Linked DNA regions of Mus musculus. The protein of the gene in region 1 interacts with the protein of each later gene in a biochemical or structural test. Links are inferred from orthologs where the notes say so. Each region holds a gene or a part of one and is shown on either strand. Other genes may lie near its edges. The genes, in order: Rufy1, Rab4a and Rab14.

Region 1 (4,384 bases):
TTCGGTAGTTCTTGCTGATCTTAGCTATTCTAGCTACAGTACAGAACTTCAGAAACCATTCCTCCTACCCAGCTCTACCCTGAATCCACTACCAGCCTCTCTCCATCCTCACCCAAAACTTCCTGAGATTTGGGAACTATTGTTAATTCTCTCTGTATCTTTGCTCTTAGCCAACAGGCTTAAGTAAACAACTAAAACCAAAACAATTTTAAATGGGAAAAAGGATAAGATATGGATATAAAGAAAGAAAACATTTTTGTGGAGGTACATAATGTGTGTACGTTTTAAGCCATTGTTTTAAGAGTCAAAAAGTAAAAACCAGGGCTGGTGAGATGGCTCAGTGGGTACAGGCTGGGTGATCTGAGTGCTGGCCCTGAAACTCACATGGCAGAAGGGGAGAACCGACTCCTGAAAGGCATCCTCAGACTTCCACAGGCACAGCACGGCAAGCATAATGATTAAAAACATCAGGGCTGGAGATGAAACTTGAAGCCCTGAGTTCAGATCCCCAGTGTTAAACACTGGGCACGACAGCATTTGTTAGTATTCCCAGTGCTTCCCTGGGAAAGCAGAGACAGGACGATACCTGGCGATGTGTTTATAAAAAAAAGATAAAGAGGTATAAGATATGTTCTATGGGGGTGTGGTGAGGTATGGGGGAAGGGGCTGCCTCGGCGGGTCCATGCCAAGGCACCCCCTACCCTCTGAGGGACCAGCCACATGATGGTATAGAATAGAGCTTATTCAGGGCATGGGGAGGGAAGTTAAGAGCGTAGTAGAGGCAGAGAGAGGGAGAGAGTTGAGAAGTATAGGCCGGGCATGGCCATGAACACGTGGAGAGAGGGGGACGGGGAGGGGGAAGGGAAGAGCAAGAGAGAAGCAAGGGGGAAGCAAGAGTAAGAGGGAGGAGGGGGCAAGCAGCCCCTTTTATAGTGGGTCAGGCCTGCCTGGCTCTTGCTAGGTAACTGTGGGGGTGGAGTTTAGACAGAATGCTAACACCTGGGTCTTTTTGGACAGTGTGGCCAATTGGTTAGCTCCGGGCTTAGTGAGAGACCTTGTCTCAAAAATAAGGTGGGTTAAACAGTTGAGGAAAACAGCCAACTTCTGGTCTCCAAGTACACAAGCACATGTACAAACATATGTGAACCCATATACACACACAAATGAAAAGGTTATAAAAATAACCAAGATTGCCAGGCGGTGGTGGTGCACATCTTTAATTCTAGCATGAAGAAGGCAGAGGCAGGAGGATTTCTGAGTTCGAGTCCAGCCAGGTCTACAGAGTGAGTTCTAGGACAGCCAGGGATACTTAGAGAAACCCTGTCTCAAAACAAAAAACTAAAAACAAAACAAAAAAACCCCAAACAAAAACCAAGACCAAAACCGAAAAATCAAGGTTAATTCATTACCAAGGAAAGAAGCTTTTTTGTTGTTTTTGTTGTGATTTTGTTCTTTAAAATAAAATCTGGGTACTAAAGTCTATTGTATGCACGTGATGCCCCAGGCATTTACAGTCAACACTCACTTTACCTCAGCAACCTGAAGTCTGCATGGTCCATTCACAGTAAGTGACCAGGCCAAGTGAAACGTGGTTATTTATTTATTTGTCTGTTTATTTATTTAGAGGCAGGGGCTCACTGTGTACACCAGGTGGGTCTCAAACTCTCAGAGCTCCACAAGCCTTTACCTCCTAAGTGCGGGTCTTAAAGGCGAGCACCACAACGCCCTTGGCTATCCTTTATATTTTAATTTTAGATATGTTCAGAAACACCAATGGATTATAATTAGCGCAGTTCTGAGCACGTACATTAACATGTGCAGGAAGTATGCACCCGAATCACCAAGCCCAGCTATAAAAAACAAATAATAATTTACTTTTGTTCTTTATTGGTATGCTGAAATTCTAATCTAGATCATAACAGCTGAATTGGATTATTCAACGTAGCTGATTAATTTTTTTTTTAATCCCCGTTTTTATAGACTGGGAAACGCGAGTAGGACAGGTGATGGGAAGTCTTCGTCCCACGGGGGGTGGGGTTGGGGGTTAGTGGCGGGAGAATAAAGGGAACTAAAACCTCCTGACTCTGACTCGCTGCTCTCACCAACTTTGGAATACGCTGTCAACCTCAGCCGCAGGTGCAAACCGGCTGGCTGCCGAGATTGTTAACTGGGGACCAGCACCGGACTTCATTTGTCAAGTATGCAAAATACGAACACTGGTGATTTTCCGTCTAAGCCTCTAATGTAAACCTCCTATTTAAAGTCAATCCGTGATCACGACGCAGCTGCTCTGAGGTTCACAAAGACAAACAAGGTGGGAGGGGAGTCCCGGGCCGCAGTCACCCTGGCCCGGTGGGTGACACCAATTGCAGAGCCCCGTGCCGCGCCGCGCGGCACAGCTCCGCGGAGCAGCTCGTCCGGCCGGTCAGGTTTCCCCAGCCCGGGAGCAGCCCCGGCCCGCGGGACCCCGGCCTACCTGCGCGCTCCCCGCCGCCGCCGCCGTCTCCCAGCCCCGCGGCCGCGCGCAGCGCGCTGCCGCAGCTCGCCGACAGGTTCCCGGTGGCTCTGCGCGCCAGCGTCAGGATGGGCGCCGACCAGCTGTCGGCCACTCGAGGCCGCGACGCACTCCGCAGCTCGCCGGGACTCGGCAGCTGGCTCCGGTCCACGATCTCGAACGCTTCCCCGGACTCTAGGCCTGCTTGGGGCTCAGGCTCCGGCCCCGGCTCGGACTCCGGCTCCCGCTCCGGCTCCGGCTCCGAATCCTGCCCCGCCCGGCGGCATTCTCCGCGGGCGGCCATGTTGTTAGGTCACGTGACCCGCCGCTGCCCTGGACCGACGACCTTAAGCCGCTGCGGCCTTGCTCGCTCTCACCTGGGCTTGCTTTCCTTGTATAGCATTCGGGAAAGTACGATTCCTAACCGTAGGTGATTCCCAGCCCGGAGCACTTGGAAGTTACTTTTGGACTTTCTACTTCCCACCCCGGGAATGCGCCTTATTTTAACGTTTTGCGACACAACTTCCTCTTTTAAACTTTCATTTCACATGCCTTTTCCCCCTTTGAATCAAAATCTCACTGTTGGATTTTTATTTGTTGTTGTTATTGTTGTTTCTTTCCCCCACACAAGGGAGACATTAAAACAGGCCATGTAGCCAAGTGGTGGTGGGACAAGCATTTAATCCCAGCATCAGGGAGGCATAGGCAGGCAATATCGCTGAGGACAGCAGAGTCAACGGAGTGAGTTCCAGGACAGCCAGAGTTACACAGAGAAACCCTGTCTCAACAACGCAGTCCCCATCACCCCCAGTAGGCCACTTGGCAGGGGTGTGCTTAACTACTTTTTTCTGGGGTGTGTGTGTGTGTGTGCGCGCGCGCGTGCGCGCGCGCGCGGCATGGCAGTTCTGGGAATTGTACTTCGTATCTCATACATGCTAATCAAGACCTCTACCACTGAGCTTCACCCAACCCCCAACACACATAACCAACAGGACCGTTGAATTTGTGATCCTCCTGTCTCCATCTCCCAAGTGCTTCTGACCCCACACCATGCTAGGCAGGCACTCTACTAGCAGAACTAGCAGAGCTATGTTCCCAGTCAGAATTTCAGTCTGTAGCTCCGGCTGGCCTAGAACTCAGTAATAGAGCACTGGCCTTGAACTGGTGATCCCCCTGCCTCTGTCAAGTGAGTATGGGGATTTTATGTGTGCCTTACCATGCCAACTCATGTCTAATATTTTCGACTTCATATTTTTCGGCAGCTTTCTTCAGAACAGGCTGTAAAAGGGCTGCCAAAGAAATTAGGACAGATGAGTCAGAGGTGTGTGTGTGGTGGTGGGGCTTTTTCTTTCAAATCAAATGAATCTGAATGACAGCCTAGCAGGCAAGGTCAGCAGTGGTGGTCTGGAAATGAGCTCTGTATTCTGCTATTAATTAAGTTGATAGGAATTGAACCAACCTCATTCCTAAGTGATAAGGAAACGCAGCACACAACGTACCTTGTGATTATTGTCTCTGCTTTCCAACTCTGGCTTGGATAAGTCACCCTACAGATATGTGGTTATTCAGCCTATTTTCTTACTAGGGATAGAAGGGAATTTGGCAAGATGGAGATGCGAATGTCATGAGAATGTAACAATTTGCAAAAAAGAATTTAACAGTTTGGACCATGTCAAACCACAGAACTCTTAGTGTTTAAAATTATTACAGTGTTGTTGCAGGCCAGGTGTGGTGGCACACACTTTTAATCCCAGCACTTTGGAGGCAGAGGCAGGTAAATTTTTGTGAGTTTAAGGCCAGCCTAGTTTACATAACCAGTTTCAGTCCAGCCAGGGCTAGGTAGTAAGATCCTGTCTCAACAAATAGAATAAAATAAAATGTTGTGGTAGA
Region 2 (3,054 bases), on another chromosome or scaffold:
CGTATCTTGCACATACTCGGGGTTCAGGTGCATCTGTGAAGGGAAGGAAAGCCCTTTTTTGAAACCCAGAGGGTTTCATTGTAATAGAAGCTAAACATAGCCCATGAGCCTATTGTATCACCAAGCATTCGGGTTCCCACGTCACCTCTGAGGCCCAGTTGATAAACAGTGTGTGCATGGTGAGGATGACTGGAAACAGTTGCTAGTTTTATAAAATACATGTATCATTTCCACAATCTTATGTCACACAGCCGAGAAACCTACAATGCGCTTACTAATTGGTTAACAGATGCCAGAATGCTGGCGAGCCAGAACATCGTCCTTATCCTCTGCGGGAACAAGAAGGACTTGGATGCCGACCGGGAAGTCACCTTCCTCGAAGCCTCCAGGTTCGCACAAGAGAATGGCAAGTGACTTTTTCCTCTAAGAGAGTCTCTCAGGGTGGTCTGGGCACAGTGACATTTGGGGGTCTTAACCACCTGGTGGAGTTTTGAGACGAAGCTATCTTATGAAACTGTGGAGTCTCTACTGTCAACTTAGGCTATTTCAGCATAGCTTAGTCTGTGCCCGTTGTGCCGACAAAGGTCAGTGGGTTGAGGAAAGCAAGGGATTTACCATCTGCAGGGCTTTTATGTCTCTGGTATGTTAGCCATCTTAGAGTGGCACGTTTTTTAATGTAACCTGAAGCATAATTGGTAAAGTCATCCTCCTGCATAGAAAGGAAGCAGATGAAACAGCCAGCTAGCTTCATTTTCTTACATTAAGTCATTCATTCAACGGCAGCAAACCTCTACCTTGTTTATTCTTTTGAGACAGAGTCTTTTTATGTAGCCCTGGCTGTCCTGAAGCTCACTCTGTAGACCAGGCTGGGTAACAACTTTATTAATGTCAAAACCGCATTGCAAAATTGGCAGTTGCTTGCAGAGATAACAGCATTATAAACATTTAGGAAGAGCCTTAATTCTGAGCCAGCTGAGACTACTCCATCCTTAAGTCCACATATGGTTGGAGGCAGACAGAAACCTGCTTTCCCATCTTAACAGGGGTTTACTAAGAACTAAACATGACCCAGGCTTGGTGTTTTGGGCTTGCAATCCTTGTACTTAGGAGGCAGAGGCAGGAGGATTTCTGAAATCTTGAAGGTAGCCAGGGCTATACAATGAAACTGTTTCAAATGGGGGGAGGGGAAATAGAGGAAGAAAGGTAGGAAGAAAGAAAGAAAAAGGAAAGAGAACCAATTAAGTCTACACATGAGATGTGTGGTCCCAACCTTCCTAATGCTGACCCTGTAATACACGACAGTTTCTCATGCTGTGGTGACCCGACCAGAAAGTTATTTTCGTTGCTATTTCACAACTGTAATTTTGCTACTGTTATGACCCTTAGGCAACCCCTAACCCCTAGGGTCAGGACCCACAGGTTGAGAACCATTGTTTTAGGATTAGCTGTTTGTATGGTTCTCTGTATAGCCCTGGCTGTCCTGGAACTCACTCTCTAGACCAGGCTGGTCTTGAACTCACAGACATCCACCTGCCTCCTGAGTGCTGGGATTAAAGGTGTGTACCGTCATCCAACCTCCACCCTGCCTCCCCTGCTCCCCCATCCCTGGCATTTTAGAGCTATTTAGAAAGCAGGAGGTGTTTAGAATGATCAGGAAAACCCTCCATTAGTACAGACCTGTTAGTACAGGCTTATAGCTGTGATGTACCTGCCAGCAGGCTTTCCCCTGCTTTCCCCTGCTCTGGAGATAAAGGAACATGAGTCTAAGTAATACAGCAGGGCTAGAGAGCCGGATCAGTGGGTGAGAGCACTTGTTCTTACAAAGGACTCAAGTTCGATTCTCAACTTAACCACCACGTTGGGCACCAGGTATCCATGTGGTGCTTAAACATCCATTCAGGCAAAACATTCATGAAAAACTAATAAAAATAAATCAAGTGGGACTACAAAACCTCCCCAATTATTATTAATGATCATTAGTATTAACGATTAGAGGAGAGCCAAATTAGTAAAAATTATCTAGGATGCCCAAATGTACACATTTTTAAACTGAATATAAATTAGAAGCTGTGGGCGGGGATGGCTTTTCTTGGACAGTGGGGCTGTGGCTGGCTGGGATGGACATGGGTCCTGCTCATGTGCTGTGTAGTGCAGTGATTTGTCAGCACGTAGATCACTTGGAGAAGAAAGTTTGGCTCCAAGTCATGATTTTAGCCAAACAGCCCCAACTGGCGTAGTAACTGCCACAGTGTGCTGCCTTCATCCTGTCAGCTCGGGGGTCAGGGCACAACAATGGCTATTCTTCAGAAAGGGTTGGGCTCCCATAACTGAGCACATCAACACACCCGGACCAATACCCTGTGATCCCAGCACTTGGGAGGCATGGTCAAGAGAGCCAAAAGTTTAAGACCAACCTCAGCTACATGTAACCTTATCTCATAAAAACAGACAACAAAAATATATATTTATGTGTATTAATTTTACATTTACAGAAAGAGAAGGTTTAGGTACTGGATTTTGCATGTTTCTACATGAGAATCCTGAACAGGCTTGTCAGCACTTAAAAGTCACTGTCATTGGGCCAGCAAGATGGCTTAGAGGACAAAGACACTTGCCTCCAAGCCCGAGGACATCAATTTCATCCCTGTGGCCCACATAGCGGAAGGAAGAAAAGTCTGACCTACAAACTGTCCTCTGACCACTGCGCCCACACCATAGCATGCACTCCCTCCTAGAATGAGAATCTGCACTGAGATTTTAAAGATCACTCTCTCTCACTCTGCTAAATGTGGCTCCCTCTCTTCTTTGATACCATTTGTAGAGCTGATGTTCCTGGAAACCAGTGCACTGACTGGCGAGAACGTCGAAGAGGCTTTCATGCAGTGTGCAAGGAAAATACTTAACAAAATTGAATCAGGTACCAGCCTTTCCCTGGCCTCATCTGTGGGTTTTGCCCTGTAGCTCACCAGTGCCCCCTGCTGGCTGTGATGAGCAAGGCTGTAGTAAAGCTCTGCTATATAGCAAGTCAGTCATGCTTACCTGAGAGAAGCAAGC
Region 3 (2,364 bases), on another chromosome or scaffold:
CTAGACCAGATATGAACAAATTGGCTTGTGAGCCATATTCACCTAATGAATGACTTTTCTATTTTTAAGAGATTTGTGACAACAATAAAAATAATATTCAGCAAGACTTGTGTGGGGCCCACAAATCTGAAATATGCCTTCTCTTCCTTACAGTCATTTTTCAGAACCTGAGCCAGCTTGTTGTGAAAGTTCTGCTCAGTGTTCTTGCCTTATGCTGTGTAGTCCAGGGCTCATCTTTTTTTCTGTCAAGGCTTTTGTATTTGAGAATTTTCATAGGTATTTTTGTTCTAAGATATCTTTTCTTTTGTTCACGAATTAGGTAATAATTCTCATAGGAAATAAAGCAGACTTGGAAGCACAGAGAGATGTTACCTATGAAGAAGCCAAACAGTTTGCTGAGGAAAACGGTGGGTTTGAGACTTAACACTCTCCTATGGGATTTTTTAAAAGAAAGGAGAATTAGATCATGCCGGCTATTCGAATTTTGTTTTTTTAACTTGTTCTATTCAGAAATCTCAATAAGGAAATAAAGTGTTTGTTTCTATGATACCTGTTAGTAGTAGTGCAGCTACTGAGTGACAAGTACTGATCTGCCCCTGCACCTCAGACACGTGCTCCTTCATGAGGGCTGGAGTAGGAGTACTGACAGCTGTGGGGCCTACTCACATGTGACTGGAGCACTCCTGACTCTGCAATGTCCTAATTTTAGTCTGAATTTTATTTTTAGGCTTATTGTTCCTTGAAGCAAGCGCAAAAACGTAAGTATGGCTAAAATGTAGATCATGTTTCAGTTCCATGCAGAGTAGAATCATGTGCTGTGTAAGTGAGTGATGCTGTAGACAGGCGTGGGAACTGTGCTGTGTAGTGAGGCCGTGGACAGCAGGAAGAGCAGTGAGCAGAAGAAGCTCCTGTTTCACTTTACAAGAGAATGGGACCCTTTTACTTAAAGGGTTGTACCTCATTGTGTCCACTGGTAACCCAGCTTAATAAATGAAACTGTGCTGACATCTCACAAGTGTTTGACTCTCACAGCTGAGGTTGAGTTTGGTATCTTGAACATGCACTGGGCCAGCATGTTCACACAGCACCTTAATGATTCAAGGACTCCATACTTAGTGACTAATGAGACACAGCGAACATTTCCTGATTGCCTTGGAGTTTAGCATTGATCCCAGCACTCCCAGTCATAGTTCTGTATCACACCAGGCAAGGACAGGCCAACCTGTTCATGTTATTTATCTCTGCTGTTGGTCCCAAGAGAACTGAGCTGTGAACATGGTTAAACATGACTATGTCACCATTGCATGATAAAGATAGCATAGTTTTATACATGGCTGTTCATAAAATAATGGAAAGCCTGGAATCCTGTCGGTACATTTGGAGAAGTTTTATTTGGAGCACCTGCTCATTTCAGAGTGGCCGTCTCAGTTTTCATGCAGTATATTAACAGAGCCCTGCAGTGAGTAGACGATGTAAATATGCAAACTGAGCTTTAGAAACAGCTTGGTACTGGGTTGTTTACTCACCACCAAAAACATTTCCTATGTTCTCTTAGCTCAGTCTTCTGGTAATCTCTTATTAGATGACAGTGGCTAAGTGGAAGACATCATGGCAGTTGACTAAAGGTTTAGCAGGTCAGTGTAAATGCCTTACATTTTCTAGAAAGCTGTGCTTTGTAAATAAAGTTGTTGATTGTCTCTTAGGGGAGAGAATGTAGAAGATGCTTTTCTTGAGGCTGCCAAGAAAATCTATCAGAACATTCAGGATGGAAGCCTGGATCTGAATGCTGCCGAGTCTGGTGTACAACACAAACCCTCAGCCCCGCAGGGAGGACGGCTAACCAGTGAACCCCAACCCCAGAGAGAAGGCTGTGGCTGCTAGTGACCTCTTTGCTCTGGCCCCTCATTTGACCTTTCACCTCTGTCTGTTGGAAGCAGTACTTTTTACTGCCTCCTTGTCTTCTGTACATCTTACTGGGTTTAATTAAAAAAAGAAAAAAGAAAAAACAACTCTTGTAAAAACAGTTTAACAATACTAAACTGCTAAACATCTAGATGTAATCAGGTTATCAAAGGCAAGTAGAGTAATAAATCTCTCCTGCATGGTAAATCTAGACTTTCCCCCTTTGATTGTCCTTGTGATAGGTTTGTCACCAATATATGATTTAAACTGAGCACTGCTGCTGGACCTGATTTTTACCTTCCCTTTTGGCAAGGCTTTGTCTCGCTGTACGGTTTAAATTTGATCTTTTCAGCCTTCCTCCCATCTTTAAACTGTTGAGTATGTCTGTTGTAGCCAGTAAGTTCATTGCTGTGAAATGACTTTGGATGGTAGAGAAAAGGGGTCTGCAACTGCTTTTGTTTT

Evidence for each region.
Region 2: the proteins of Rufy1 (region 1) and Rab4a form a complex in vitro, tested with the Homo sapiens proteins (2 studies listed by BioGRID). The link is inferred for Mus musculus from reciprocal best matches to the Homo sapiens genes RUFY1 and RAB4A.
Region 3: the proteins of Rufy1 (region 1) and Rab14 form a complex in vitro, tested with the Homo sapiens proteins (2 studies listed by BioGRID). The link is inferred for Mus musculus from reciprocal best matches to the Homo sapiens genes RUFY1 and RAB14.

The regions. Positions count from the first base shown.
Region 1 is NC_000077.6:50,428,308-50,432,691, forward strand, and holds the start of Rufy1 (RUN and FYVE domain-containing protein 1), read right to left. Parts: upstream 2,819-4,384; 5' UTR 2,799-2,818; coding exon 2,477-2,798; intron 1-2,476. UniProt on the Homo sapiens protein: Activating adapter involved in cargo sorting from early/recycling endosomes. Regulates retrieval of proteins from endosomes to the trans-Golgi network through interaction with the dynein-dynactin complex.
Region 2 is NC_000074.6:123,829,982-123,833,035, forward strand, and holds part of Rab4a (ras-related protein Rab-4A), read left to right. Parts: exon of another isoform or gene 1-33; intron 34-251; coding exon 252-406; intron 407-2,821; coding exon 2,822-2,917; intron 2,918-3,054. UniProt on the Homo sapiens protein: The small GTPases Rab are key regulators of intracellular membrane trafficking, from the formation of transport vesicles to their fusion with membranes.
Region 3 is NC_000068.7:35,181,787-35,184,150, reverse strand, and holds part of Rab14 (ras-related protein Rab-14), read left to right. Parts: intron 1-319; coding exon 320-407; intron 408-727; coding exon 728-758; intron 759-1,703; coding exon 1,704-1,881; 3' UTR 1,882-2,364.